Linked DNA regions of Arabidopsis thaliana. The protein of the gene in region 2 purifies or fractionates together with the protein of the main gene of each other region. This does not show direct contact. Each region holds a gene or a part of one and is shown on either strand. Other genes may lie near its edges. The genes, in order: CAM9 and CPK30.

The links.
Region 1: the proteins of CPK30 (region 2) and CAM9 purify together in Arabidopsis thaliana (affinity purification with western blotting, with the first as the bait; one study listed by BioGRID). This does not show direct contact.

The regions. Positions count from the first base shown.
Region 1 is NC_003074.8:19,263,586-19,278,925, reverse strand, and holds CAM9 (calmodulin 9), read left to right. Parts: upstream 1-9,267; 5' UTR 9,268-9,611; coding exon 9,612-9,687; intron 9,688-9,780; coding exon 9,781-9,941; intron 9,942-10,031; coding exon 10,032-10,109; intron 10,110-10,607; coding exon 10,608-10,748; 3' UTR 10,749-10,975; downstream 10,976-15,340. Other genes in the region: AT3G51950 (Zinc finger (CCCH-type) family protein / RNA recognition motif (RRM)-containing protein), read left to right, coding at 1-259, 337-516, 622-682; AT3G51940 (oxidoreductase/transition metal ion-binding protein), read left to right, coding at 3,769-3,856, 3,933-5,218; AT3G51930 (Transducin/WD40 repeat-like superfamily protein), read right to left, coding at 6,007-7,254; HSFA7A (heat shock transcription factor A7A), read right to left, coding at 12,307-12,861, 13,369-13,632. UniProt on the Arabidopsis thaliana protein: Potential calcium sensor.
Region 2 is NC_003070.9:28,072,023-28,088,542, forward strand, and holds CPK30 (calcium-dependent protein kinase 30), read right to left. Parts: upstream 10,650-16,520; 5' UTR 10,455-10,649; coding exon 9,815-10,454; intron 9,662-9,814; coding exon 9,518-9,661; intron 9,438-9,517; coding exon 9,285-9,437; intron 9,160-9,284; coding exon 9,044-9,159; intron 8,950-9,043; coding exon 8,782-8,949; intron 8,686-8,781; coding exon 8,455-8,685; intron 8,351-8,454; coding exon 8,177-8,350; 3' UTR 7,924-8,176; downstream 1-7,923. Other genes in the region: EDS16 (ADC synthase superfamily protein), read left to right, coding at 1-241, 334-408, 491-559, 672-790, 877-934, 1,031-1,141, 1,234-1,318, 1,410-1,507 and 1 more; QKY (C2 calcium/lipid-binding plant phosphoribosyltransferase family protein), read left to right, coding at 3,151-6,396; AT1G74730 (transmembrane protein, putative (DUF1118)), read left to right, coding at 6,973-7,125, 7,366-7,809; AT1G74750 (Pentatricopeptide repeat (PPR) superfamily protein), read left to right, coding at 14,778-16,520.

The DNA.
Region 1 (15,340 bases), on a different chromosome or scaffold from region 2:
ATGTGTTGTGGAGGAGTAAGTTTGAAGAAGAGATTCTTGAACTTCAGAGCAGAAGGCTGATGAATCTGCAGCTTCTTGACGTCAAGAAGCATTTCCAACTCAATTCCCCTACCAACATTCACTCTCCGAATCCTTTCAGCCAATCACTTATATCTCCACGCCCATTGTCCGTGATCAAGAGAGAGTATGATGGAGGAGAGAAAGGGAAAGGAAGTTCTAAAGAAGGATCTGATGATGATACAATGAATCTACCAGAGAGGTAGGTTTATATACAAGAGTTCTCTGCAAGGAAACTGTTTTGTGTATTTTAAGCTGAAGCTTTTTGGGGTGTTTTAGGTTGGAGGATAGCTTGCCAGATAGTCCGTTTGCATCGCCCGCTCATCATTTGCTTCTGTTTGCTGATTCTGCTGACAATAACGGATCGGATCTGTGGTCGCCTTCTTCTGATAATGATGATAATTCTACTCCTTCTACACTCTCCGACTCCTTCAACTCTTTCAACTACCAAATGCCAAGGTCCCTAGATTCAACCACACTTTATGTTTTACTCCTTCTACACACTTTAATTTCTGGTATCAAGTTGATGGTATCTAACATTGCGTTCATGAATCTTCTCAATAGGTTACCGGCGATTGGAATGTTACCCGGTAGGGGTGGACCAACCTGTCGTGTTGGGATATAAACAGGTAAAAAGAGTTAATGGATGGTGAAACACAAAATAACAATCTTGTTAGGTTAATAGTTTGTTTGTTGTGGTTGTTGTTTTTGTTACAGGAAGTGAAGTAAGAAAAGAAAAAAACTGATAAAATAGAGAGACCCTTAATAACCAAAAAGATGCAGAGGTGTAAAAAATAAAAAGCAGGAAATTTGATGTAAGAGATAGGAGAAGAGAAAGAAGGAAGATTGTTGTACCATTTCTCTAGTTTTAATGTGTTATGTGATGATGGACCACACAAGATGATGTAATATGATATGATATGATATATATAATATAGGACAAGAAGTGTAATCTCTCTAAAGATATACAAAAGAAAAGAGAGATTATCATTTGAGTTTGAAAAGTCAATATGTTCTTGTCCGTGCTAGTTATTACCCTCTCACTCTAACTACTCTCCAACTTGGGAATCCAGAGATATCAGCTTTTGGTGATTTTTTCTTCAACTATAATTTTTGATTTCTAGGTTATGCATCTTTGTCCTTAATAAATGCAACTTTGGTGAGGTGGAAAGTGTAAAAAGAGTAGGTGATATATCCATGGTTATTACCGTGATTTAAGGCAAAGAAAAGAAGAATGTTATGAACGTATGGTCGTATTATTGCATGTAAAGACTAAAGTTGTGATCGATATCCAAATTGTGTGTCCTTAATGACTTAGCAAAAGCAAGGACAGTGGTGTGTGTGGTGGTGAGACACGCGCGAGAGAGTGAGTGCCAAAAACTTAACACACAACATTACAAAAATAGTTTGTAACTTGTGGTCTACTTACAACTATGTCTCTTCTATTATGTGAAAGTTGGAAAGAAGGTGTTTTAATTCATCATATCACCACCCTATGATCAAACGAATGTGAAGGCCAAGCTCTTTTGAGGCTAATGATACAAATATATGATATGATATGTGTGTACACAACGATTTTCAAGCTTCTTATAAATTGATCCTTTTTGGGGACTAGGGTGATAGTTTTAGTATTGGCTATTCGTTGTAAAGCTAGAAGCTTAAGTATGCATGTCGCTTCCGAGATTCCGCTTAATGCTTATTTTTCTGGTCACAAAACAACTAAAATTATTGTACAGTATAAAACAAGAAGAATAAAAACAACTTCGAAATAGGAAAACAGGAGGAAGAAAATAATGGGATCCCACGAGCCAACACACAGGCCATGTGGTGTGGGGATATATATTTCAGAAGTTGTGTTTTGTGGAGACATGTCCACATATATACTTCCAATATCGGTTTTACAAATATTTATACATATGTATAAATTAGATGATACGTGAGACGTCAACTAGTTTTATGGCTAACTAATTAATCCTACCATCTACTCAAAACAATTTTCTAAAACATTTGCCAGTTTCATTACATCTTTTGCATTAAATTCTCTAAAAGTGAGCAAAAATGTTTTTACCGTTCCTTAGAGACAAAGGCACTCTCATAATTCACATCCGTACAAATAGGTAGTGGCAATTAATATTGAGGACAGTGATGAAATAAATCGATGGTAGGGATCTTTGACCATTGGTATTGGTTTCAAAGAAAGAGGCACAACACACACTTGGACTTGGTCGATTCATTAAAAATCGAACCCCAACACAACTGCAATTAAATGGAAACGAAGAGAGAGCTCAATCATCGAAGCGTGAGAGTCACGACCAACGAGAAGCGAGTGGATGTCTGGAAGAGTGGAAGCAATGGAGAGTGAGAGAAAGTTAAAAAAAATGATGTTGTCAGAGGGGGTTGAATGCAACACAACGTGCAATTTACCTTTTATTGTCTTAAGATTGGGCCCATTTTCTCTTTTTTCTTCTCTCGTTTTTTTTTTTTTGTATTCTTTTCAAAATATAGCAATTTCTACGAAAGTAGAGTAGAAAGATCTGTTTGAGTAAAAATAGCATTATTAAGAGCGAATCGAATGTGGAAGGCGACGTCATTTTACTGATTGGTGTAGTAGATCAAGTGAATGTTGAATTTCTTTTATACACCATTGACTTAACTAGCGTGAAGTCATTTATTTTGGTTTTAGCTCAATAGTTAATAAATACTATTGTCAACTGATAATAATTCAATAGTTATTCAATACACACATGCATAAATCAAAACTTTTTATAAAAGAATTCAAATTGTTCTCAGATATAAAATGGATTTTTTTTTTTAGCAAAAAAATTAAAGAAATATTATGGACATTGAAAAAGAGAGCTCCACAATTTGAAGTTGTTCTTGAACAAATTCCTAGGATAGGAGTCTGCTATGATTATGATCACGTGCATTGTGGTTGCTCATTTAGAAGCATTTGATTTTTTATTTAAAGAAGTTAAAAATGTAGCACGATCCAAACTATGCCAATGAACAGTGTATCATTCACACCATTTATAAATCAATTCATGATTAACTCATAAGCAATACACACCTTAATTGACCAAGAAAACATGACGATTGCAATCGACCTTTATAGCCCAATTATATATGGATTTAGTATATTGGGACCATTCATAGTTCATTTTTCCAACTTTTTAAGTTGAATGAGTTGAATCATTTTTCTTACTTATTCATCTTAAGTGGTAAAAAAATTGGATGAATGGTCATTCAACTCTTTCAATTTTTTAAATTTTAGGCAACCATTTCCACCCTTAAAGGTTATGTAGTCAAAGGTAATGCAATCATTCCTTTTAGTAAGATTTTCGTGTAATATCTAACGAGAGATGTTTAATTTGTAACGAATAATGACTAATAAGTTAATTTCATGGAAGTAATTATTCAGTTTAAAATGGCTTTTACTAATTCAAAAATGTTTATAAATGTATTCACAAAAAAAAAAAAAAACATTTTATAGCCTAATTATATGTGGACCTATTATATTAGGCCCATTTATAGCCCACACGAAATGAAATCGGGCCGTTACAGAACCGGAAGTTGAATAGACGACACCACCGACCGAATTCACTGCTCTCTTCTCCAATTTCCAATTTCCAATTCGTTTGCTTCATCAGCTCCCAAATTCTCCCGCTGACCCCTAAGTTCTACAAAATCCATCATCGTCGATTGAGATTCTTTATGGGAAAGTGGAATCATCGATCCAGACACCACCGTCGCAGGTCTCCTGAGCGGTGGTATAGCGGACGTCAATCTTCTTCTTCTTCAGGTATTCTCCTTGTTGATCTTAATCTCCACTCTTAATTTGCTTAATTCTGTATCTTACAAGTGTTTGATTGTCAAAGTTTATTGTGAAGACGATGGGATTCCAGTTTGGGAAAAGAGATTCTGTGAAGTGATTGGATCAGTACCATGGCAAAAAGTTGTTGAAGCTAAAGACTTTAAGAGCTGGTATAATGGTAATGTTATCACTTGGGATGATTCTGCTTGCGAAGACACTTTTCACAATGAGAAGAAGCGGTTTTGGTCACAAGTTAATGGTCTTCATTGTGATGTTTCTATTCCTGATCCTGATCTTTACATTAGTGAAGTAGATTGGGATACTTTTGTTGACCCGGAACTGATTAGAGATTTAGAAAAGGCTTACTTTGCTCCTCCTGATGATGTGAATATTGGTTTTAAACGGGGGCGTGGGGATAAGAATTGGAGTGGTTGTGACACAGTGCCTGAGGCTCGTATGTTAGAAACTCCATGGAAAAATAGTGATGACATTATTGAAACGGGGAAGAAATCTAGTGGATGGAACCTAACAGAGGGTAGTTCTTGGGAAGCTAAGCCTTGTTGTGTAAACGAGAAAGCAAATGATACAGCTTCAGGGGGTTGTTTGACGACTGAGGAATGGAGGGAGAATCAGTGGATAGCCAAAGATAGGGTTAATGACAGTTGGGAGTACTCGGGCCAGGGAAAGGATGATGGATGGGATAAGTCAGGGCACCAAAACAAGAAAGTAAAAGGTTCTGAAGAGTATAAAAAGATCGACAATCCTTGGGAAGCCCAGCCTAGTTGTATAAAAGAGACAGCAAAAGATACCACTTGGGGAGGTTGCTCTGGTGAGGGATGGGAGGATAGAGGTTGGAATAATGATTCTTGGGGCAGTGGGGGATGGGATAACCGGGATTTGGGAAATCAAGGTATGGAGATGAAGGAGTGGCGTGGTAAAGGATATAGTCGAGATTTTCGGGAGCCTAAGGGTTGTAATCCATGGAAAGGTGGGTTTGTGCCTGACAATGTAGCTTTCAGAGAATCTGGGGTAAATGCAGGCGGTTGGCAAACATGTAGAGGGAGTGAGACAAAGCAAATAAATTGGGATGTGAAACGAGCCAGTGATGGTTGGGGTAGGCAAAATGACAATGCAGCTTTGAGAGAATATGGGGCAAATGCAGGTGATTGGCAAAGACGTAGAGGGTGTGAGGGAAATCAAAGAAACTGGGACGCAAAACGAACGGGTGATGGTTGGGGTAGGCAAAATAAGGAAAGAGTTGACTCATATGGCTACCATTCTAACTACAAAAACTCATGGCCTAGAAGAGATGATTATCAGAACAGGAAGGTCAATTTCTCAACTAAGTAAACCAAATGATCCATTGTTTTTTGTTATGTTTTTTTTTTTTTTGTGTTTGAAGTCTTAGCTTGTTATGGTCTGTGCAGGCAGTGTAGTTTTAGCTTAGCCATTGACTTCCATGTTAACTCAAAAGGCATGGTTTTGTGTTTCCACTTCAGAATTAGCATATGTAGAGTATATAGGAGTACCCTTTTTGATGATAATGTCTCATACATACTAAAGTATTCAAGGTTTTTGCCTTTTGAGGCTGGATTGATAATGATTGTGTTCTTTGTGAAGATGTTTTATTCACACTTTTCTTAATTGATTCCAACTTCGAAAAGAAAGGCATCTACACACATGAATACACTTATGTTTTGGCTCAATGCATTCCTTAAAAGCTTCCTCATCTCATTTTTATATTCAAAACTGAGTTATTCTGCTTTAAAGAGTGTGATTTGGAATCAACAAAGTTGGGTATATGCTTCACTTTCAAAGCAATGGGTGCGTCTGCTTTGCATGATGGTGATGGAGAAAGTTGCAAACTCTGCTTTACTATTTGGACGGTGAGCATTCCATTGCTACAGTTTCAATACAAAGCAAAGGTAACCCAAAAGCATCAGACTTTACTCTGTTCTATATCATTAGGACCAAAACAGTTGGTAGACACAAATGTTAACAAAATAAGAATTCAATTCATATAATTTCTTGAAAAAATCCCTCATGACTTTACAAAATGAATAACAAATTACAAATATAAACCAAAACGTATATGAAAACCAATCCAAAAAAAAAAAAAAAAGTACTATATCTTTCACTCATTCCTTTTGCGTCAACAATGTCTTAAAGCTTGATTTCTTCTCTTCTAAGTTGTCTTGTTTTGGTACCCACCAAACCCTGAGACTCTTGTCAAGGCCTCCACTGTAAAGCATGAAGCCAGCACCGACATTGTTTGGCGACGCTTGTAAGCATTTGACCGGACCTTCATGGCCATGTATGACTCCGAATTTACAGAGCATGCCAGTCACTTCTCTCCTCCACAACCCAATGCTCTTATCAGCCGATCCACTGCATACCATTTCCCCAACTACACACATACACAGAACTGCCATGTTATGTCCTCTTGTCTCAAACCCTAATCTCCATTCCTCAAAGTCTCCTTCTTTCTCTTTCTTCTCCCATCCGATCACAAACCCGTCTGATCCTCCTCCGTATACCCAATTACCGTCACCGGAAACCACCACCGAGTTCACTGACACCTCTGCACGACCCTCCAACGTAGCCTTCAAAACATGTAAAGAAGAGGAAGAGGAAGAAGTAGACTCAATCTGCTTTCTCTTCTCTTTCCCCCATATCTTGACCTTCCCATCTGCGGAAGCAGAGTATACCCTGCCATCTCCGGCGACAAGACCATTGATTGCGTCATCATGAGCCTTGATCGATTCAAGACACTTGAGATCCGACAGTCTCCAGACTTTGAGAGTCTTATCCCACGATCCAGAGTAGATTATCCCAGCGTGTACCGCAAGGCACGAAATGCTATCGGCGTGTTCAATCCAGAGACGCTTATGGTTCCTCCTCGTCTGAACGTAATTGCTCTGTTTCATAAACTTCCCCAGATAGTCTTTAGTCGTGGGAAGTGTATCAACAAGCCTGAAAGCATTCTCAGAGTTTCTCCGAGAAACTTTCCAAACTCTGATTCTACTATCTTGATGCGCCGTGAACACTTTGCTTCCCACGCTGACCAAAGCCTTCACAGACCCATCACCTTGTCCGAATTTCGCAAAGATCTTGAGATCAGGCTGTTGCCAAACGATGATATCTTTTCCCTGAGACGCACTCAGCAAGAACTCACCACAGAGCGCTAAGGAAGAAACAGAGCCGACATGAGCAGAGAGAACAGCGAGTGGCTTGTACGCGCCGGTGATAGGCGGACGGAGAGTGTTGAGGACGAAGCTTTTGGTGGACGCAGATGGGCTGAGAGAACCGTCGGAGTCGTTGCTGTTGCTTGTGGTTGAGGAAGAAGATGAAGACATCAAGACTCCTTCTTGGATTGATCTCACCATCGTATCAAGAGATTCAAGATTTCGTTTCTATTTTGGAACAGAGAAACCAACAAAATTGGAGCGTTTGAGGAAATGTTAAAAAGAGTATTTATTTTTAAAAAGGAGGAGAAGGTGCAACGGCTACATTGACAGGTGGCGTAGCCTCCTTTTTTTGCCTTTTGCTTATCATTTGCGCATTTTCATTAATTCGTGATATATGGCTCATGGAATCTTATAATATATGAAACCACTTCAGGAGCCTTAAATTTAATGTGTGCATATCATAGTAACGGATTGATCATTGTTCTCTTGTTTGACCAGTGATGTTAATTGGACCATATGTGGATACTGTAACGTTAAGGATTATGAAAATCAAGATATAGATATATGTATTTTTCAAGTATACGATATACCAAATTAGTTACGACAAAATGCGAATGAGTTGGTAGTAATGAGTAAACCTCAAAATACTGTTTTTTTTTTGTCAACAAACTTATGTTATTATACTTGGATGACTTAAATAAGCTAAACCGAAAAACATTGTTTAACCTCAAAATACTTATTTAATTAGTTGGTAGCATCGTTACATATTATAATTACGACTACGAGTTAGATTCTCAAATAATATTCCCAAATGGATATATTTACATCGATTGATGCATGCTTATTTGTAGTGATCGTCCCTTATGTATATTATGTTTTTATTTTATTTTTTGAACATAGTATAATATTGGTGGGAGAAGACAAAAATAAGGGAGCTCTGCCATCTAATACGGGAATCAAGATATCTGTTTTACATCAAACAAAGACTAGTGTGATGAAATGAAAGTTAAGTTAACAACAATAAAAAACAAAATTAGCTGAAAATGTAATCAAATGAGAGATCCGAATCCGATCTCCGCTAAGTAAAGCGTAGTGGGAGCGTAAATTCGCGTGAGTCTGATTCTGAATCGTATCATACATACCAAATCAAACATTAACGTTTATGATCTTACTTACCCATATCTTATTTCTTAATTTGTTTGGTTGTTTGTAAATGAGAAATACACTATGATAAGAGAAGAAGATCTAAATGAGGCATAGATCTCTAGATACCAAAACAGATAACGCCACCAACTAACATCCAATTAAGGATATATAACACGGCATCTCCCTCTTTAGTAAGCTTACGACCAAAGTAGTGTGACTAGTGCGGAACATTTTTGCAGTTAATACTACTTAGCCTCAATTCTTAATTATGACCGTATGGGACAGGGTAGGTAGGCACAAAGCGGATATTGTTTTTAATATATTTGCATCGAATTTGGTTTGTTGGATCGATAATCTTTTAATATGTATCCGCTTTTGAACTAGTCTATTCTCCGATTGTAGAATGAAACATCTATCCGAAATTCTAATTTGTAGTATTAGTGATTTGTTTTGTTTTTAACAGTATTTTAATATTTGTTTAAATTTGTAAACTTATGGTTATCCAGACTTTTTGAATCATTCAAAAGTGGAAAACAGATCGAATGGAAGTATAGAACACTACAATATATTTTCATATTTTTCTTAGCCGTAAGCCACTAATATTGGATGGACATAAACATAAGAGACCCCACAATATTTATCAGATTAAGCCTTTATTCACATTACAATGTTTCGTTCTCAACTTCTCATCATAACGTGAATAAAAGTAGGAGTTAGAATTAGAACACAACATCTCTAACAAATCTCTTATCTGCATTGCTTTGGAGAGACATGTTTGTACAAGAAGAAAAATGTTTATGGTCAGTCCGTTTTTTTCATATTGATTACCTTTTAAATCCCATTTGGTATTAAAAAAAACCCACTTCTAAGATATGTTTCGCTTTTTATGGTAACAAGACATATAACTTTTCAAAGTTACTGAATGGAATTCTTGACAGAAGTTGTTAGGACACTAAATAATGGAAAATCAAAATCAAGGGTTACATTAGAGACACGCGTACATCAATTATTTCTTAAAATGCAACTTGGTGTACGACTTTTAATTCTTGAGTCCTCAAACCCGAGCATTACTCCACCCTTTCTTTTCGCAATAATCAAGATCCTAATTTAATTCCCTATAAGTATTTTTTCTAATAACTATGAAAATAAAGAAAAATAAGCGTTGAAGTCATAAGTTTGAACAAAGACGCGTGACCTGGAATCGTGCTCAAGAAAAAATATCACAACTAATGAAAACGCAAGGTCATGAGTATTGACCTTGACCGGGCAAGAGCCTAGAGCCAAGAGGTGATGTGTACTTAAATGTGATAGATGCTCCCTTCTTCTTCTCTCATCACTAACAAATTAAGAGAAGCTGATCATCAGATTGAATCAAAGACAGACTTTGACTTTTCTTTGTGATCGAAGATATGGCGGATGCTTTCACAGATGAACAGATCCAAGAGTTTTACGAAGCCTTCTGTCTCATAGACAAAGATTCCGATGGTCTGCTTTGTTCTCTCTCTTTCTTGTTCGATTTGATACACAAATTTATTCAGAATCGATCGGTTTGATGATGTTATGATGCATGTGAAACAGGGTTCATCACGAAGGAGAAGCTAACGAAAGTGATGAAGTCGATGGGGAAGAATCCAAAGGCGGAACAACTGCAACAGATGATGAGCGATGTTGACATCTTTGGCAACGGTGGCATCACTTTTGATGATTTCTTGTATATTATGGCTCAAAACACTTCTCAGGTAAAATATATATACACACTTAAAACCGTTTAGTTATAGTAAAGATTGATAATTGTAGAGAAAAGTTAATAATGAAAAAATTGGTTGTAGGAATCAGCATCGGATGAGTTAATTGAGGTATTCAGAGTGTTCGACAGAGACGGAGATGGTCTCATATCTCAACTTGAGGTAAATAAATTGTCTAACTATTTACCAAATAGTACATTGTCCTGACATGGAAACAATAAAAAACGAGTTACATACATATATAATAAGATTAAGTGATCATGTAGATGGATATAACGAAAGAAGAGAAATTACTAAATGTTACTTTTTTGAAGACCTTGTTATTATTATCTTTATAATCTACTATCATTCACTCATTACAACACAAATTTTTGTCGCCATAAGAAACTCCATTGCTCATATGGTCTTGTTTTTTTTTTCTCAAACCGACACGGCGACAACACAACAATCGAGAGACACATAGTCACATACTACTTGAAAAATACTTCGTTATCTGAATTAAAAAGATTTATATTCAAAAATAATGCAAAAAAGATTGGTCATTTAACTTGGTCAAATGGTTATTAGCTTACTTTTATAATATAAGCCATTCTCTTAACTCTTAAGTCTTAACTATAGTTTATTTAGCCATTTCTCCTAATTTCTATAAACGAAATGCAGTTGGGAGAAGGAATGAAGGACATGGGGATGAAGATAACAGCAGAAGAAGCGGAGCATATGGTCCGAGAAGCCGACCTTGATGGCGATGGTTTTCTTTCTTTCCACGAATTCTCTAAAATGATGATTGCTGCCTCTTATTAGCATTTTGTGAAATGCCATGATTTAAGAGTTTGTTTTTGCACAATTACAACTATATTTCAATATGTTACTATATTTTCCCAACATATAATTAAAGTGTGTGTTACTGAATCAATGATTTTTTTCGGTCGATAAAAAACTATAATATTTTTCCTATCCAAAATTCGAACCAAACCAAACCAAACCAAAAGTATTGTTCTGTTTTAAACATATGTTTTTTAAACCGGAAAATCCAAACCGAACTAAACCGAGAGTAATTATCTGACTCGGTCACTCGACGGTAGCGTGCCACAATTGAACTGGTGGTCGATCCTTAACTTCCATCTTCAATCCTTGCAAAACCCTAATGAAGAAGCAGTCTGAAGAACCAAAAATCAGTGGTTTTTTAATAAGTAAATGGTGAGAAAATCTGTTGAACTGTCGAATTTGTTTATAACCTATCAGCTTTGCTATAAATTGTTTGTTCCAAATTCCAATTCAAGTCCCCATCATTGAAGGTTAAGTAGCTTTGCTTTTTTGTCTGCCGACGGTTGTTGTAGAAATTTATGATGTTCTTGATGCTTGTCACTTTCACTCATATTGAGATCTGTCTCTCGATTCATGTTTCTTCATCACAGTGGACACAAAATGACCTAGAAGCTGAGATAGTATATTTACATTGAGTAGAGCAATTTAGTACTTGCAATATTCGTTTTAGTAGTGTCTAAAAAAGATAAGGCTTTGGTTGAACTCCATTCTAAAACCCTTACGACTGATTGAGCAAGAATCTTTACATTGATTATAGCTTTGTTTCCGTGGAAAAGTTTCTACAGTCCAGCCATGCAAACAAGGCGATGGCAACATAGGAAGGAGATAGGAGATTGATTAGATTTTTTTTTTGTCAATCAACAACTAGCTGCTGTAGAAGAAACTTTAGATCAGAAAACAGAACAGCTAATCACTGCTAAAGAGTTTTCCTCTTCTTTGTCATGAGACATTCCACCATCTTGTGGATTCTTGATCTTTGTAGCAATCTTCTTGCTCATAGTTGTCTTTGCTCTCATTTTAAAGTTATTTTCTTGAAGACTAGAGATCAGAATTTTGACCGGAGAGAGTAAACCATATTACATGATTCCACTAAATTAACACTGTTACAGGTTAGAATCACGGACATGGATGATTGCTCACTCATGTGGACTTGTCTTAACACTGACCCAAATAAGCCAAAACTCCTTAATAGCATTAAATGATGTGAAAAAGAGAGATCACATTTGGAAAAAGGGTTTAGGGCAAAAAAGAGTGAAGCAGACAAAGACATCATTCAACGTCATCAATAGGTCTTTGTAAGAAGAGATCAGAGAAGAGTTTAGATGGAGTTAATAACAATCATATTTATCACATACATATACACATATATGAAAGAATTAACCATTTTTTTGTTTACACTACTACTACTACTACTTGATAACAAAATTACTGCAAATTAATTAAACAAACAGAAAAAGTTTTTTTTTTGTGACAGAAGAAAATGAGCTTGAAAGTAGAAGAAACTAAAAACAAAACCAAAAAGAAATCCATCTAGTTAGGAGGTGGAAGCCAAACTCTCATCACTAAGCAACTCTTCCCAGAAACCATCATCCAACTCTCTCTCTACCACCAGTTGATGATCCTCTTCTTCCAACATATTCCTCTGTTTTCCATGCCCTTGCATCTCCAAAGCCAAAACTTCCAATTCCGACATCGAAGAAGAACCTCTTTTCCTCTTTGCTGACTCATTATCCTCAAGCTCCTTAATTTTTTTATCTCTTTGTTTCAACAACTGATGCAAAAACGAAGGACTCTGCATTGCTCTAGCCAGAAACGACATCATTTGTCTCTGTTTCCTCTCTGTTCCTTCTATCCTCTGTTCCATAGCTTTGATGTAGCTTTTCGTTGTTTGTTGCTGCTGTCTTAGACTCACTATCTCCATCATTAGCACTTGCTTCTCTCTGCGAAGCTCGTTGCAAGCGTCATGGCTTGGTGAAGATGATGGAGTAAAAGGGTTTCTCCTCTTGATGTTCTTCAACAACTGTCTTTGTCCTAACAAAAACTCTTCGTTTGCAAATTCCCATCTCTCTGCTTCTATCTTTCTGAAACCCTGTAATTTTTTTAACATAAGTATTCAAAAACTAATCTTTTGAAAGTCTACATATTCTCACAAACATCAATAATTGGAGTGAGAACTCTTTCTATGTTTTTATATGTTAAAGAATGGAACAAGTGGGCAACGTTAAAGCTGATTAGTGAATAAACAATGGAAATTGGGATAAGATCGCTGACTGTTTCTTTTGATTATTTTAGTAAGCAAGTTGACACGAAACTTGCTTCTGGAACTTACTAAACCTTCTTCTACTCCACTAGCCATTACGGAATCTACATTTTCGATGTTTCTAGAATGCTAAATTAACAACAGATTCTGCTGTAAAAAATGACTTTTTTCCATTACCAAGTTAATTATATAGTAACATTCAGAATACTTCGCGGTAATTTTCCAGCAACAAGGGAAATGAAAGTTAAAAAAATAAAAGAAAAAAACAGAGCATTCCTCTGCTTTGAATGCTCTGTTTTGTGTTTGGTCAGAGAATACAGAGCAGAGAAGACTCACATAAGTATTGAGTTGTCTGATGAAACTTGAGAAATTGCTGTGTTTGAAATGACGAGGAAGGAGAATCGTGGAGAAAGAATGCAAATCCCAGACGACAAAACTTGTTCCTCCTCTGTTCCAAGATACGATGTGGTCAGTGTTTGGATCATCCACCATCTCAAATGTCTTGGTCAGAAATGGAGGTGGAGCATTTTCGTGTAAACCCTCCATTGGTTGTGGTGGTGGTGGTGGATCGCAGCCTTCCGGGAGAAACGGGTTCATCATCCTGAGGTAACGGGTTTTGAAAAACCCAATTGGAAATTAAAGACAAGATTCTTGATGATTTCGATTAACCAGTCTCCGAAGTTGAGTTCATCATCTTCGGATTTTGAAAAACTGGTCGGATTAAGTTCGTTTATGGCAGTTGATGGAGTGAGGAAGGTAATGTCCACGTAAGATAATTTTGAGGTGGCTTTATATAGGAAGAGTAGAAAGTGAGTGATGATATTAGATTTGATTAAAATATTTGTAAAAATTATTATTATAGTACACTCAAGTTAGAAATTAGAAACTTCTGGAAACGGTTTTGGACCTTTTTGATGCACATTCGAATAGTCGAAACTTCTGGAACTTCGTAATTGAGGACTGTACGGTATGGTTTTCACATTGTTAGTATTAGGACCCACCTTTTGTGTTTTACAAATATAAAAACAAAGAGTGATGCAAATGGCAAATTGTAATTGGGTTAAGTTTGGTTTTAATGTTGATGTGGCTGTTGTCTCATCTTGACATTTGGCTTGGGTCTAAACCGGATTGGTTAAGGCTAAAATAAAACCAACCAGAAGTACTCCAAGAGTTGATTGACAAATTCCCTGCAATTCGAAGGCCTCCATTAATTTCTGACTAGTAAATTTCTTAGGTATTTTTCTTTATAATATATAAGTTAGAGATATTTATAAAATATACACTTTTATATTAATATATGGCTACAAAACATTTCTTCTTTTTAAAGCAAAAACTTAAACCCTTAACCCAAAAGAGAAAAAATGGGTACATGCCTTAAAATGGACTACTCAGGTAATTCAGAATTGGTCGGTCAGAACAGTATCTGGAGCACAACTTCGTTGTTGTATTTTTTCTTTACATTCGTAGAACATAGTTTCTAATCAACAAAAAAATACACGAAAAAAGATAATAGTAATTCACTAGCAAACAATTTGTATATATTTTTTGTCGTTTGACCTTCAAGAATGGGTACATGTATTTAAATCAGTTTATTCTGAATTGGCCGGTTAAAACAGTATCTGGAGCAGAACTTCGTTGTTGTTTTTTTTTTACATTCGGAGAACATAGTTTTTTTTAATCAACAAAAAGAAAAAAAGATAATAGCAACGCTAGCAAACAAATTCTATATAGGTTTTGACCATACATAGAACAAATCCTAATTGGTCCGCTTGGACTCTTCCTAGAAGCTGTAGACTTCGTAGCCACCTTTTTGATGCAATCCTCAAACATGTGTCGAACAGTCTAAGTGACACTTGATGCATTACCGCGATGCCTCATGGTACGTGTTTGTACTCAACATCTGGTCTGTAGTACCAGAGACAGACAGGATGATAAAATATAGTAGAGATTTCGAATTATTTTATATTCAGCAACCTGCTTAACAAAATAATGTGGAGACATTTGATTGAACCATTTCTTTTGACTTTTTCTCCGAAAATATTTTTTAATAGTATGAATGAAGTTACAATTCGGGATTATAGAGTAGACTAGCTAGTTTAGTATTTGGTAATTGGTGCTTATCGATTAATTCTATGCGTTAATACTTTGTTACGTATAAGCATCAATTTTGATGGTCTATTTATTTATTAAACACAAAATTTCATTGTCTATTTCAAAGCAAAATCATGACATTTTTTTATTTTTTACTCCATTTTAAACAAGTCATGTTGATTTATGATATTGTTGTAGTTCCACTAAACACGTTTTT
Region 2 (16,520 bases):
AAGTTCAATGTTGGCTGCAACTATTGCTTGGGATGATGAACTCTCTTGGACTCTGGAAAATGCTATTGAAGCACTCCAGGAGACTATGCTTCAAGTTTCTTCTGTTGTAATGAAGTTGAGAAACAGATCTTTAGGAGTATCTGTTTTAAGCAAGAATCATGTTCCTACCAAAGGAGCTTATTTCCCTGCTGTAGAGAAGGCTTTAGAGATGATTAACCAGAAAAGTTCACCCCTTAACAAGGTAGTTTAGACTTTAGAGATTGTGTTCGTATCTATTCTTAAAACAAGTTTATAGGTTTCGTTTTAACTGATGTTTTTGGCTCGTGGAATTAGGTTGTTCTTGCTCGTAACAGCAGGATAATTACGGATACCGACATTGATCCCATTGCTTGGCTAGCACAGTTACAGGTGTGTTTTTATCTCTGGATATTATATAGTAGTCAGTTTTCAATGTTTAGATTTATATCTCACTAATTTTTTTGTGTGACAGCGTGAAGGGCATGATGCATATCAGTTCTGTCTTCAACCACCTGGTGCACCAGCTTTTATCGGAAACACGGTAGGTCTTTTTATATGTAGTCTGTGATAATAAGTTCTGTTGATAAAGATATGTGCACATTTGTTATTTATTTCTAAGAAATATGTTTGTGACATACATCTTTGTGAAACAGCCTGAGAGACTATTCCAAAGGACTCAATTAGGTGTCTGCAGTGAAGCTTTGGCTGCAACTAGGCCTAGAGCTGCTTCTAGTGCTCGTGATATGGAGATAGAGCGTGACTTACTAACCAGGTCAATTTTTACTTCAAGTGCTTTGAACAATTACAGAATCCAGTTCTCCATTATCATTTTACTGAATTTTTGCTAAACTGTTGCAGTCCGAAAGACGACCTCGAGTTCTCTATCGTACGAGAGAATATAAGAGAAAAGTTAAACGTAAGTTCAATCTTGATGCTCTGCAGCTTCAATGCTTCATTTCTTGGATAATAGTTTGGTATATTTTTTCTTATTATGCTTTCTTCTGCTTTGCAGGGTATATGTGACAGAGTTGTTGTCAAGCCTCAAAAAACTGTGAGGAAGCTTGCAAGAGTGCAACATCTATATTCTCAATTGGCAGGGAGACTTACGAAGGAAGATGATGAGGTGAGATAATAGTATTGGAATAGTTTTTACATTTCCAAGCTCTTCATTTCTTCGAATTAGCTTTAACCCTTTTTCTTTCTATCTGTCTATAGTATAAAATATTGGCTGCTCTGCATCCAACTCCAGCTGTTTGTGGGCTTCCAGCAGAAGAAGCAAGGCTTTTGATTAAGGAGATAGGTAAAATATCTACCTTGGTTCAACTATCTTCTAGTAACTATAGATGTAGAGATTAAGAATTATGCTGACTCAAACATTTTGCTTCTTCTAGAATCATTCGATAGAGGAATGTATGCGGGACCTATTGGATTTTTTGGTGGCGAGGAGAGTGAATTTGCAGTCGGGATCAGATCAGCTCTAGTCGAAAAGGTGAGCTTATTTGATCTCTTTCTCCCTTTAAAAAACACACTTTAACACTAATTGTTATAGCAAAATCGATCATTACGGTTTTTGCTACAACTTGTAAAAAAATGCTGAACTGTATTTTGATTTACAGGGTCTTGGGGCATTGATCTATGCGGGGACAGGGATAGTAGCTGGAAGTGACCCATCTTCAGAGTGGAATGAGCTTGATCTTAAGATATCTCAGGTACGAGCTTTTGTCCAGAAAATGTTTAGTGACATCATGGTTCTCTGTTACCAAAATCCTAATTTTTATTCTCTCTTTTGTTGTTGTTTTTGCAGTTCACCAAGTCAATTGAATATGAAGCAACAACATCTCTACAGGCGATTAATTGAAGAAAGAGTAACATTTGTATTTGATTGTTTTGTTTGTATGGGGGATAAGGGGTTCTCACAATAAGAAAGCAATGTTGTCTCTCTTGTAAATTAAAAAAGAAATGCTTTAATTTGTTAATGGGCCGAGCCTTTTCGGGTTGTAACTAGGGCAGGCCTATCATGAATGTTCATAGGCCTAGCTGTTATGATTGTTAATGAGCTTCTATAGTGTTTTTCTTCAAAGACAGATATATTCAATATGGATCTAAAACTGAACTGAATTTAACTGACATGACAATCGAATCAAATTGAATTTATTTTTTCAATTTTCATTTAGCAAGAAGTGACCCATCTTCAGAGTGAAGTAATCTATGCTTATTATCTCGATTAAGCAAAAATCCGTAGAATGCTTGGGCCTTTCAACGATGATGTAGCCGTGTAGGACAGGTTTACGGAATCTGCTTTTATGCAAATGGTAAATATTAATATTCCTTTATAAGTTAGCGTTTCAGATCATCTTCTTTCGTTAGATTAAGAAACTACTTTGTTATTATATAACTATAAATACCATCCAACAACCTTACTCGCCATATCTTTTCATGTGTGGTGGTTTATAGGAACATTGAAAAGTACCATATTATAAAATGAAGAATCAACACGTCAACAAAAACACAAATAAAATGAGATAGTACAATTAAAAAAATGGAGCGCATGTAAAAAGTGAAGAATCAAACGAAGGCTTGGCGATAGAGAATGGAATCAGATTTCCCATTATCCCCACTCTAACACCATATATTCCTTTCCCTTTTTACCCTCCACCTCAATTAGGTTTATTAATCATATTTAACACTCTAATTAACCAACCCATTTCATCTCTTTTATTTTACTAATCACAATGCTTTGGCCTCATTACGTTTTACCTAGATTTACTTTGTCACAAACTACACAAATATGAACCTAATTATCTACACTCGTGTCAGAAACAGTTTTAGCTAATATTTAGTAAGTTTTAATTAAAACTAATGAAATGAATAAATAGTGTATAGTACATAGGATTTGTTTTTAGTTTATTAATGGAAATTAAGATTTCATTAGTACTAAAAACATGTAAATAAAATAAAGCTTTAAAGAGGAATATATTCAAATAAAAAAAGCAAGACCTCGAAAAAAAAACTTTCTATTATCTCTCTTCCGCGATTACCGTAATCTCTGTCACAAACAACAAAACCTTCTCTCTCTCACTATCTTAATGAGAGAAGAAGACATTCTCGAGAAATGAGAAGACTACCACTACGATGAACACGACGCCGTTTCACTCGGATCCTCCGCCGTCGAGGATCCAGCGTAAGCTCGTTGTCGAAGTTGTTGAAGCTCGTAATATTCTCCCTAAAGATGGTCAAGGAAGCTCTAGCGCTTACGTCGTTGTCGATTTCGATGCTCAGAAGAAACGAACCTCCACTAAGTTCCGTGACCTAAACCCTATTTGGAACGAGATGCTTGATTTCGCCGTCTCCGATCCCAAAAACATGGATTACGACGAGCTCGATATCGAGGTTTATAACGATAAAAGATTTGGTAACGGAGGTGGCCGGAAGAATCATTTTCTCGGTAGGGTTAAGATCTATGGAAGCCAGTTCTCGCGAAGAGGTGAAGAAGGTCTTGTGTATTTCCCTTTGGAGAAGAAGAGTGTGTTCAGCTGGATTCGCGGCGAGATTGGACTCAAAATCTACTATTACGACGAAGCCGCCGACGAAGACACGGCGGGTGGAGGTGGAGGACAGCAACAACAACAGCAACAGCAACAATTTCATCCGCCGCAACAAGAAGCCGATGAACAACAACACCAGCAACAATTTCATCCTCCGCCGCAGCAGATGATGAATATACCACCGGAGAAACCTAATGTAGTTGTGGTTGAAGAAGGTAGGGTTTTCGAATCGGCTCAGAGTCAGCGCTATACAGAGACACATCAGCAACCTCCGGTGGTTATTGTTGAAGAATCACCACCGCAGCATGTAATGCAAGGTCCAAATGATAACCATCCTCACCGAAATGATAACCATCCTCAACGGCCACCGTCTCCGCCGCCACCTCCATCGGCTGGGGAAGTACATTATTATCCACCGGAAGTGAGGAAGATGCAAGTAGGAAGACCTCCCGGCGGAGATAGAATTAGGGTTACGAAGAGACCACCGAATGGAGATTATTCACCTAGGGTTATCAATAGCAAAACTGGAGGAGGAGAGACGACGATGGAGAAGAAGACTCATCATCCTTACAATCTTGTTGAGCCAATGCAGTATCTCTTCGTTCGGATTGTGAAGGCGCGTGGCTTACCACCTAACGAGAGCGCGTATGTTAAGGTACGGACGTCGAACCATTTCGTCAGGTCTAAACCGGCCGTTAACCGGCCCGGCGAATCGGTTGATTCACCGGAGTGGAATCAGGTTTTTGCTCTTGGTCATAACCGGTCTGATTCCGCTGTAACTGGTGCGACTCTTGAGATCTCTGCTTGGGATGCTTCGTCGGAGAGTTTTCTCGGAGGAGTTTGTTTTGATCTCTCTGAGGTTCCGGTTCGTGACCCGCCGGATAGTCCGCTTGCTCCTCAGTGGTATCGGCTCGAAGGCTCCGGCGCGGATCAGAACTCTGGGAGAATTTCCGGTGACATTCAGCTCTCTGTTTGGATTGGTACTCAGGTAGATGAGGCATTTCCGGAGGCTTGGAGCTCTGATGCTCCGCATGTAGCTCACACGCGTTCTAAGGTGTATCAATCGCCGAAACTTTGGTACTTGAGAGTGACGGTTCTTGAGGCACAGGATTTACACATAGCTCCTAATCTCCCGCCGTTGACTGCGCCTGAGATTCGTGTGAAAGCTCAATTAGGGTTTCAGTCGGCGCGTACAAGAAGAGGCTCAATGAATAACCACAGTGGTTCGTTTCATTGGCATGAGGATATGATCTTTGTTGCTGGAGAGCCGTTGGAAGATTGCTTGGTTCTGATGGTGGAAGACCGGACGACTAAAGAAGCAACACTTCTAGGACATGCCATGATCCCAGTGAGCTCCATCGAGCAGCGAATTGATGAGCGTTTTGTGCCGTCGAAATGGCACACTCTGGAAGGAGAAGGTGGAGGTGGAGGTGGAGGAGGAGGACCTGGAGGTGGTGGTGGTGGTGGACCTTATTGTGGAAGGATTAGCCTTAGACTTTGTCTCGAAGGTGGGTATCATGTGCTTGAAGAGGCGGCGCATGTATGCAGCGATTTCCGTCCGACGGCTAAGCAGCTATGGAAACCGCCGATTGGAATACTTGAGTTGGGGATTCTTGGAGCTCGTGGGTTGTTGCCGATGAAGGCGAAAAACGGAGGGAAAGGTTCCACTGATGCTTATTGTGTTGCTAAGTACGGGAAGAAATGGGTCAGGACTCGAACCATAACAGACAGTTTTGACCCGAGGTGGCACGAGCAGTATACGTGGCAGGTTTATGATCCTTGCACCGTGCTAACTGTTGGAGTCTTCGACAATTGGAGGATGTTCTCTGACGCCTCCGATGATAGACCTGACACACGGATTGGGAAGATACGGATCCGGGTGTCGACGTTAGAGAGCAACAAAGTGTACACCAATTCATATCCTCTGTTGGTTTTGTTACCTAGCGGTATGAAAAAAATGGGTGAAATTGAAGTGGCAGTCCGGTTTGCATGCCCGTCTCTGCTGCCTGATGTTTGTGCAGCTTATGGACAGCCGCTTCTGCCTCGGATGCACTACATAAGGCCTCTAGGTGTAGCACAACAAGATGCATTAAGAGGGGCCGCCACGAAAATGGTAGCAGCTTGGCTGGCTCGAGCAGAACCACCATTGGGACCAGAGGTAGTTCGATATATGTTAGATGCAGATTCGCATGCATGGAGCATGAGGAAAAGCAAAGCGAATTGGTACAGAATTGTTGGTGTTTTAGCTTGGGCAGTGGGTTTAGCTAAGTGGTTGGATAATATCAGGCGGTGGAGGAATCCAGTGACGACGGTGCTAGTCCATATTCTATATCTGGTTCTTGTTTGGTACCCTGATTTGGTAGTCCCGACTGCATTCTTGTACGTGGTGATGATCGGAGTTTGGTACTACCGGTTTAGACCCAAGATACCGGCTGGTATGGATATCCGCTTATCACAAGCTGAAACCGTCGATCCTGATGAGCTAGATGAAGAATTCGACACCATACCAAGCTCAAGGCGACCAGAAGTAATCCGAGCTAGGTACGACCGATTAAGGATCTTAGCAGTGAGGGTTCAGACCATTCTAGGAGATTTTGCAGCGCAAGGAGAACGGATTCAAGCGTTGGTTAGCTGGAGAGATCCGAGAGCGACAAAGCTGTTCATAGCAATCTGTTTGGTAATCACAATAGTTCTGTATGCAGTTCCTGCGAAAATGGTGGCGGTGGCTCTAGGGTTTTATTATCTTCGGCATCCGATGTTCCGAGACACAATGCCTACGGCTAGTCTCAATTTTTTCCGGCGGTTGCCAAGCTTGTCCGATCGACTCATCTAAGGAGAGAAAGATGTCAAGATAGTAAATGTTAGGTGTTTTTGAGTATCCAACAGTTTCTTGGGCTGAGGAGGAAATAGAATAAAAAGATTCATTATGGGTTAAGAATTTTATCATATTATTATGATTCTTCATTTTATTATTCAGATTCTGTCGGAAACTATAATCAGATGGCATGAGCTTTGAGACCTGTAATATTTTGAAGGAAACGAGAGAGATTTCAGATTTGAGAGGTGAAAAAGGAAGCAAAACTTGTCAGTAAAGTTTTTTGACCACAGATTTGCTTTTGGTATCTCTGTAGTTTTCTCTGTAATCTAAAATGATTTACTAATTCCTCATTTAACTTATTTTGTTTACGCCTAAACTATTACATGTAAACATTGTCTGATTATATAAATTCTAAGTGAAAAACCGGAGATAAAGCGCTAACGAAAATGATTGGTTGAAATCACAAAGACATCATCTGACGTGGCAGTTTCTCTGTCTATCAGAGTTTCAGATAGTGTGCCAACGGCGAAACAAGACACGAAAGAATCTCTAAAGAAATCATTTTCATCGCTTCGCTTCGATTTTTCTTCAATGGCTGTCGTCGGCGCTCCAATATCGTCTCCGGCGGCTCAGCTGCAGACACAATTTCTCTCCAATCCCATTCTCCCCCGCTTTCGCCGGTCTTTCTCCACCGGAAAATCACCAGCAACTTTCTCCGTCGTAGCTATGGCTCCCCAGAAAAAGGTAACTAACTCTCTTAATCATCTCCTTTGTTTAAGTTCTGAGATCTTTTGCACTTTCATCAATCACTTCATAAAGTATAAATCTTTTTTGATTCTCAAGATAATCTTTAGAAACATGAATAAGCAGTACATTTTAGTAATGGAACAAAGACATTGAAGTCTCTGTATATAGTATTGTTGCAGAGTTTTATATATACTTTTTAATTTGTGTAATTGTGATCACTGAATCGGGTAACAAAAGGTGAACAAATATGATGCCAAGTGGAAGAAACAATGGTACGGAGCTGGATTGTTTTTCGAAGGGAGTGAGCAAATAAACGTTGATGTTTTCAAGAAGCTGGAGAAGCGAAAAGTGTTGAGCAACGTTGAGAAATCTGGCCTGCTGTCAAAAGCAGAGGGGTTGGGACTCACATTGTCATCTCTTGAGAAGCTTAAAGTCTTCTCCAAAGCAGAGGACCTTGGTCTTCTCAGTCTCCTTGAGAACTTAGCTGGAACATCGCCTGCGGTCTTAGCCTCGGCTGCATTACCAGCTCTCACGGCTGCTATTGTAGCCGTGGTGTTGATCCCGGATGACTCAACTACTCTAGTGGTTGCTCAGGCGGTTTTGGCCGGTGCTCTTGCGCTTACAGGGGTTGTTTTGTTGGTTGGTTCTGTTGTTTTGGATGGACTTCAAGAAGCTGACTGATTCTTTCTCTGTAAACCGAACATAAACCCATGTCTTGTCCAATTGATTTTTGTCAGTTGCTGATTTATAGCTGTATGGTTCAGTTGTTTATGGTTAGTCCAAGACATAAGCTGAGTGATAGAAAGAAGCTTTATAATAATTAAACAAATATTACATACACATTCATTCATTCTCCAGTGAAAAGCCTAACTACGCCCACAAATTACAAATTTCCAACTTCCCCAAAACCAAAAAAAAGAATCTCTAGAAACAAAGTGAAGTAAGCCAAAATCACATCTGAAAAAAGCCCAGAAAAAAACCCTTCATGAACGTGTAAGAAAAGCAGCCATCAGATTGCTTCTGTTTTGGTGATAAACAAGTGTAAAGATCAAACTGCAATAGATTGTCCAGTGAGTGCGTCGTGTAGATGCATTGACCCGTCTTTCATCAAGTTTAAGCTTAAGCTTTTAAACCTCTCTCTTGAGTATTGTCTTGATGCCTTTCTCCAATCAGTTCCAGCTTTCATCATCACCACAAACTCATCATAGTTTATTTTTCCGTCCTGCAAAATCAAACATTATGACTCCTCTTAAGTATTTAATAAACTTTCTATAGGAAGAGTCTTTATAGCGAGAAAGGAGCTGATGTATAGAGCTTTAGAAAAACCTTGTCAGTGTCGACTTCACGCATTATATCGATTATAACACTGTTGTCTGGTTCACCTAACTCGTCGGTTAAAGCTTCACGTAGTTCTTCTGATTCGATGTATCCACTTCCATCTTTGTCAAAGAACATAAAAGCTTGTCTGAAATGCTCATCATTCTCCATCTTCTGCAAGTGAATTATCACTGCTACAAACTCTCCATAGTCCAAGCATCCATTTCCATTAACATCCGCCTGCATCAAAATCATGAATGTAAGTACCAGAGAAGATAAACATCGTTTGATCAAGAAAAATCCTCATAAGGAAATGGTATTTGGTAAAACATTTACCACTTCCATTAACAATTTGATCTCTGGTTCACCCAGTTGTGAACCGACTTTCCGGAGTCCAGCTCTGAGTTCTAGATATGATATTTTACCGTCGTTGTCATCATCCATCAGCGTAAACATGTTTCTGATCACTTCAACTTCTTGAATAGACAAGTGTTCGGCGATAACCTGGAAGCATCAAAAGGGAGCAAGTAAGTTAAACCAATCAAAGCTCCAAACAAAAGTATAAACTCATCTGAAAAAAATGAGAGGCAACACTTACACGCAGAGCTTTCTTTTTCAATCTATTCATCATGGAGAATTGCTTCAACCTTGACCTAACAATATCCCCTAAAGGAACATTTGGAGCTTTCTTTGCATTCTGTATCCAAGGGTGATCTGCAAAGAAGGAAACAGAAACCGTTTTCACTTTAAATGCCATTTTCTCCATCTCAAATCCAACACAAGAAACAAGTAGCAAAGAAGATCAAAATTCACAAGTGACACAAGAACAGCATTATTACCAAGAACTTGCTGAGCAGTCAAACGCTTAGTTGAATCAGGTTCCAACATCTGCTTCACAAGGCTCTTTGCGCTCTCTGATATCTGCGACCAAGGATCTCTCTTAAAATCAAGAACTCCCCTCAAGATGGCAAGAGCCACACCTTGTTCAGTCTCTGCAATCAAAACCTTGAATCACTCAGTTACTCTCAATCAGCATATACAACTTCAAACAAGAATCAAATCTTTCTTTAACCTGCCCAAAACGGAGGAACACCACAAAGCAAGATGTAGAGGATAACTCCAGCACTCCACACATCAACCTCTGGTCCATAATTTCTCTTCAACACTTCTGGAGCCATATAATAAGGACTTCCAACAATCTCTGTAAACCTCTCTCCTGCAAAATGCATCAAAATCTCTCTTTTAAGTTAAATTCATAAGCAGATTCAAAGTAACACAATTGTCAACTCTTAACCAATGTGACCTGAAAGCAAAATGGAGATCAAAGATTCTAAATTTAGCAAAAAGATTCCATTTTTATGGAAATTACCAGGTTTAAAGAGAACAGATAAACCAAAATCAATAGCCTTAAGTGCAGAATTCTCCTTCTTGTTAGCAAACAAGAAATTCTCAGGCTTCAAATCTCTATGCATAACACCATTGACATGACACATCCTCACAACCTCCGCGATCGTTCTCGCGACGGTAGCCGCCGCACGCTCTGTATAATGTCCTCTGGCAACAATCCGATCAAAAAGCTCACCTCCTTCACAAAGCTCCATCACAAGATGCACGTTCTCGTTATCCTCATAAGTCGCTTTAAGTTTCACAACGTTTGGGTGTTCCGGTAAAGTTGACATGATCGTGACTTCACGACGGACGTCTTCCACATCGACGGCGGTTCGGAGCTTTCTCTTGGAGATTGATTTGCAAGCTAAAGCTTCACGAGTCTCTCTATCTGTACAAAGATACGTGATTCCGAATTCGCCGCGACCGAGTTCTCGTCCTAAGATGTACTTGTCGCTGATCTGAGATTGATGGCTCATAGGAATCACACGTAACGGTGCGTGAGTTCTTAAACCATCGGGATCGTCGTATGGGTTTCGTTGCCGTCCCCGTGGAGGTTTCTTCTTCTGGTTTGGTTTTGAGTTGTCTGGGTCAAACTTGACGCAGGCGATACAATTACCCATGGCTGAGTTTTTGAAACTCAGCAGAAGAATAATGAAGAAAGTAGTTTAAAGAAGTTTTCGTTGGTGCAAAATCCGGCGACGGCGTAGAGTTTTCCGGCGAACCGGTGAGTTGCAGAGAAGAGGAAACACGGGTTCAGCTGAAGAAAGTTTCGACCTTTTCGTAAAATTGATCAAAATGATTATAATTTTTTTTATTTATATCAAAAAGAAAATAAGTTAAAGCGACTTGATCTATCTCCCCTATATACTTAAACAAATTAATTACATAGAAACTGTAATTTTGAGCCATTTTCTAACCTATAATTTATAAAAAATTGTAAAATATTTTCAGTGATTAACAGTTAATTAATTGTATTATTATTACAGAACAAGTTTTAGTCTCTGGTGTTGTAACTAAAAGAGTAAGTAATTAAAATAACTATTAAAAAAATTATAGCCTTAGATCTGTTGATAGGTGGTAAAATGAAGGGTAGAGATGTAGCTTACGTGGAAGGGGAGAGTTTGATGAAGTTGTTGACCGTAGAAGTGGATACGGTGACATTGTCAAAAAGTGTGACGTTGGTTTCATTTGATTTGGTATCACCAAAATATTTTGTTTTGTTTTCAATTCAGTAATTATTATTGTCTTCTTGTCTTATATTATATGTCTATAGCATTACCTAAACTACCTGAATCTACAATTTTTTTTTTTGCTATTTGGTTTCTTAAATACAATATTTAAAAACTGGTTTCTTACCAATATACATACATATGTATATTTACAGATTTATCGAGTGGAAAATGTCTTCATTAATTTTTCGTATGAAAATAAATAACTTTGGGTTGTCAAATTCAAGATAAAAACTGGCATTGGATTTTCTTAACAAAAAAAAACCCTAGTAGTTTATGTGTGATTTGAAAGTTTCTACCAAAAGATTTGGTGAAGATAATTTCAAAAGCTATCAAATTTGTATCTAAGATATGAGATATTATTAGGTGTAGACTTTATCAATGTAAAGGAGTCAGCTTACTATCGGACTTTGTTTTGTGTAAAAAAATAGTAATCAAAACTAATATATGAAGATTCCATTGATCAAAGTCAACAAAAATGCAAACAAATGCGATCGTCTTGTTGTTTTCTCTCATATATTTCTCATTTTTATATTCGAAACTAATTGACAAGTGTGTCGCCATGTCGTGATCTTATTCGTTTGCTTTCTATAAATCGGGTTTACATTCACATCCTATCAACAACTAATTGGAAGTTCGAAACCGAAACTCTTTTTGATCATCATGTACATCGTCTAAACGATAAAATTTGTGCATATGAATATAAATATTTTTGTTTTATCACTTTATGTCACTCATCAAATTGATATCAGTAGGTAAAAAAGAAGGTCTTTTATTTATTTCCCGGTTATACTTTCAACCAACAATTAGTGCAATTGGCAAAAAGAGTGTGAAACGTTGAAAGTCATGCAAAAAATAAAAAAAGCGAGTCTTTGTAAATCAATACATTAGAGAAAACTAGCTATATAAGCCCCAAGTTTTAAAACTTGGTTATATTTTACTCGAACTTTGTTATGTTTATGCATATAGTAATATGTTATAAATTATTAAGACATAAAATTCCATAAAAAAAGATAAATCAATTACAAATAGATTAGTATGGATGAGATTGATTTTCACACCTAAAAAAAAAAGAGAGGAAATGATGGACCATGTTTTATCTTGTGCAACTTTTTAGCTGGCAAAAAGGATTTAAAAAGAAACTAACAATACGAAAAATTATTATTCGGAAAAAGGGACTTTCGTCGATGAAGGAAAAAACATGAGATTGTGTATGAAATGATGGGCTCAACTAGAATGTTTGAGATTGCATGTGTATGTGGCGTTGTCATGCCAACTATTCGATTTATTCAAGTCCCATCACTTTTCTTGCATAAAACTGTTATCTACAGCCTAAAACTATATATACTTTATGGGATAATTAATATTTTTATATGAATGAATCTTAAATTCAAAAAAAAAGAAAAGAAATGAATGAATCCATCATCCATGCCTTAGGCTTTGAATAGTGATATACCGGCGGGATGGTTTGTTTACCATCCATATCTCTTTTAAAACTTTTCAAGTAATAAGGAAACTCAATAAGTTTCTAGATTAGTCATGTTTCAGTCTAACTTTTAGTGTTATGAAGAACAAGAAAATGACAGCAAGTGATTTGGCATGGATCAAGTGACACAGGTCCGTTTTATTTACATTTTGGAATCTGAAATTCATTAATTTCAATGATTGTAGTATGTCTCTGACTAAGTTTGTTTTCCATATGTTGCACACTTATAGTAAATGATGAGGTTTGGGAGTGAATACTTTAGGGTTAGTTTAAGATTCTATGGGGTTTCAGATTAAGCTGTAGTATGAGTTTGTCGAAGCTACTAGGATCATATAACGAGCAAATGTCTTTTATACAGCAGCTATTTGGGCTTGAAAAACAAAGTTTGAAATGGGCTCATAAGATAACTGATAGGAAAGCCCAATATATTTTTCTTAGCTTAAAGAGAATACACTTGCAAAGGAGAACATAAATGCACAAATACAATGGCATAAAAGTATCTTTTTCAAAATATTATTTAAAACTTTGTTGTGCTTTCACATTTTTAGATTTTTTCAGATTTTTTATATTTCTTTTGGATTAAAAGTTTATAAAATCTATCTTAAAGAAAAGGAGCCGTTCTAAAATCTAAATTAAAGAGGCCACGGAAATTTAGTTCGGATCGAATCATACCCACAAAATCTCTCTCTAAACTCTAAAATAGTAAAGGAAATGAAAGTCACAAAACAGTCATATTCAAAGTAGTACAGAGAAACTTGAGGAGGACAGAACCGAAACGTTTGCTCAAAAGGGGAACAAAGTAATAAAAGACGAAAAGTTCAAAAAAAGGTTTTTACAGCTAAATCCAAATATTCTTTTTATTCCCAAATTCAATCACTAACTTTAAAAATAGTAATTCGACACCACATTGTTAACCGGGAAAAGCGATTTAAATAAGAAATTCTGAAATTCTTCAATATAAAACACTGCTAATATTATATTTAAAGAATATACTGAAAATTATGAAGGTATCGTAATCGAATCGATCAGATACAATTTAGAGTTGCCTAATTCATAAAAGGAAAAAACATTTATGGGTGATGTTATTTCATAAATACAAAGATTTAGGGGTATAGTTGAAAAAAGGTAAGTATGTTAAAGGAAAACATTTATTGAAAAGAAAAAAAGAAGAGAGTAAAAGCAAAAAAAAAAAAGTCGTGACCTTTGGAGCTAGTAGTACCCAATTTGCTTGGAGAGCAAAACAAACTTTGAAGCTTCCATATTTGACGGCCACAGAGGGAGAAGGCAATTTCGCCTTCTGTCTCTCCTTTTCTTTCTCATTTCCTCCTGAAGATTTCTTTTTTCTGTTGTCTGGGGAAAACGAAGCAGACGAAGGAAGTCAAACACCACCGTTTTTAAGGTGACTTCGTAGTCTTGTGATCTCGCTTCTGTTCTTTACTTTTCCGATTGAAATTTTGCTTCTTTCTTAGCAATAAATGTCATTGATTTCTGGGTTTCTCCTCTTTTCTCTTCTGTTATTCTGCTTTTCGTTGATATCGAGCTTGGAACTCGGCTGTTATCAGTTTTTGTGAGAGTTAATTTTGAGATTGAACGTATTCATAATGTTTGTTTGACTGTATGTTCTAATTGTTGACTTTAATTTGGTCAATATTCTTAAGATTTGAATGTGAATCAGAGGTGAAGAGAGATTCTAACAGAGGCTCAATTTCACTGCACATATTTTTTGAGCAACTGGTTAGAATGCATTTCGAGAATGGGGATGGTCTATTTCAGCTTAGACAATAGACATTGTTGTATATTCTTGTTATAGCCATTTTGGTATTATTGGTGTGTGAAAGGATGATACTTTGTGGAGAAGCTGAGAGAAAACTGGAAAGCCCAATTTTTATTCTGTTAAATGGGTTTTACTCTGACAATTATACAAGATATGGGGTGACTTTGAATAAGTAATGTACAAAGTTTCTCAATTCTTTGTGTAGAACTTCGTGGACAAGAGAGCTAGATGGCTAATAAAATGTAATTTTTCTTTGTAATTCATGGCTTGGTTACACGACCAAGTGTTGAAACCTTAATTACTGCGTTTGGTGGCTCCGTTGTCATAATTCTGGTGAGAGGCTTCAGGTAGTGTTATAGGTTACTAAGATAGTTTTGGGGAACAGTTTTTTTTAGTTCTTGATATTATCTTTATGTGTTTTCTCTAAGCGTGTGATTCTGTTTTCTTGCAGACGATGATTCGTGCAAAGCACATTAGTAATCTTTCTAGCTCAGCAAGATCATTTTTTCTTAGTGGATCGAGACCGAGTGCTGCTGATGGAAATTCTTGTACATGTGCTGAGGATGAAAGTGGCGTCTCGAAACGCCAGCAAATTAGGACTGAAGTTGTACAGACTGGTAAAAGAGCATCTAATTTAGCAGCTGGACTAGCTGGAAGTATATTACCAGTAGAGGCTGGTAAACCGCTGGTGGTCCCAAAGACGGTTGAGCATTTCACCCGGCCATCGCTTCTTCCGCAACATGTTTCCTCTCCTGCTTTGCCAGGGAAAGCAGATTCTGTAAATCATGCTTCTGCTATTATTAAAGAAGACGTGGGGGTACCTATTGGTGATCAGATATTCAAGGCTGGTATTGGAAATGTAAATTTATTGTCAGATATAGCAAACTATAAGATCCCTTTATCAGATGGAACTGAAGTTGTTGGTTTGCCTAAAAGCTGTATGGTTGATCCTACTCGGCCTATTTCAGGTGTAAAGTCTTCAAATGTGAAAGTCATCAGAAGAGAGCACCTTGCTAAAGTCTATCCTAGGTCCGCTGACCGAGTTCCTATAAACAGCTCTCCAGGTACTAAGCAAGCTTCAAATGACGTTGCTGGGAAGTCGTTTGAAGCTCATGATTTACTCTCTAACAATGTCTCTGGAAAGAGGAAAATCATGCCACAAAGACCCTATACTGATTCAACCAGGTATGCGTCGGGTGGTTGTGACTATAGTGTGCATTCTTCGGATGACAGGACGATAATATCTTCTGTTGAAGGTTTTGGTAAACCCTCAAGGGAAATGATGAAAGTGACTCCAAGGACTGCTCCAACACCTAGGCAGCATTGTAACCCTGGATATGTTGTAGAAAATGTTTCTAGTATATTGCGGAGATTCAAGTGGGGACATGCTGCCGAAGAGGCCCTTCACAATTTTGGTTTCAGGATGGATGCATACCAAGCTAATCAAGTTCTTAAGCAGATGGATAATTATGCGAATGCGCTTGGTTTCTTCTATTGGCTGAAAAGGCAACCTGGGTTCAAGCATGATGGGCATACGTATACCACTATGGTAGGTAATCTTGGTCGTGCAAAGCAATTCGGTGAGATAAACAAGCTTCTTGATGAGATGGTTAGGGATGGGTGTAAGCCAAATACTGTTACATATAACCGACTCATCCATAGCTACGGGCGTGCAAATTACCTCAAAGAAGCGATGAATGTTTTTAATCAGATGCAAGAGGCTGGTTGTGAGCCTGACCGTGTAACTTACTGTACCCTGATAGATATCCATGCTAAAGCTGGATTTCTTGACATTGCCATGGATATGTACCAAAGAATGCAAGAAGCAGGGCTTTCTCCTGATACCTTCACCTACAGTGTTATAATAAACTGTCTTGGAAAAGCGGGCCATTTACCTGCTGCCCATAGGCTCTTTTGTGAAATGGTTGGTCAAGGTTGTACTCCTAATTTGGTCACATTCAACATCATGATAGCTTTGCATGCCAAGGCGCGGAATTATGAGACTGCGTTGAAGCTCTACAGAGACATGCAAAATGCCGGGTTTCAACCTGACAAAGTGACCTACAGTATTGTTATGGAGGTACTTGGACACTGTGGATTTCTCGAGGAAGCAGAGGGTGTTTTCGCTGAGATGCAACGTAAGAACTGGGTTCCTGATGAACCGGTTTACGGTCTTTTGGTGGACTTGTGGGGAAAA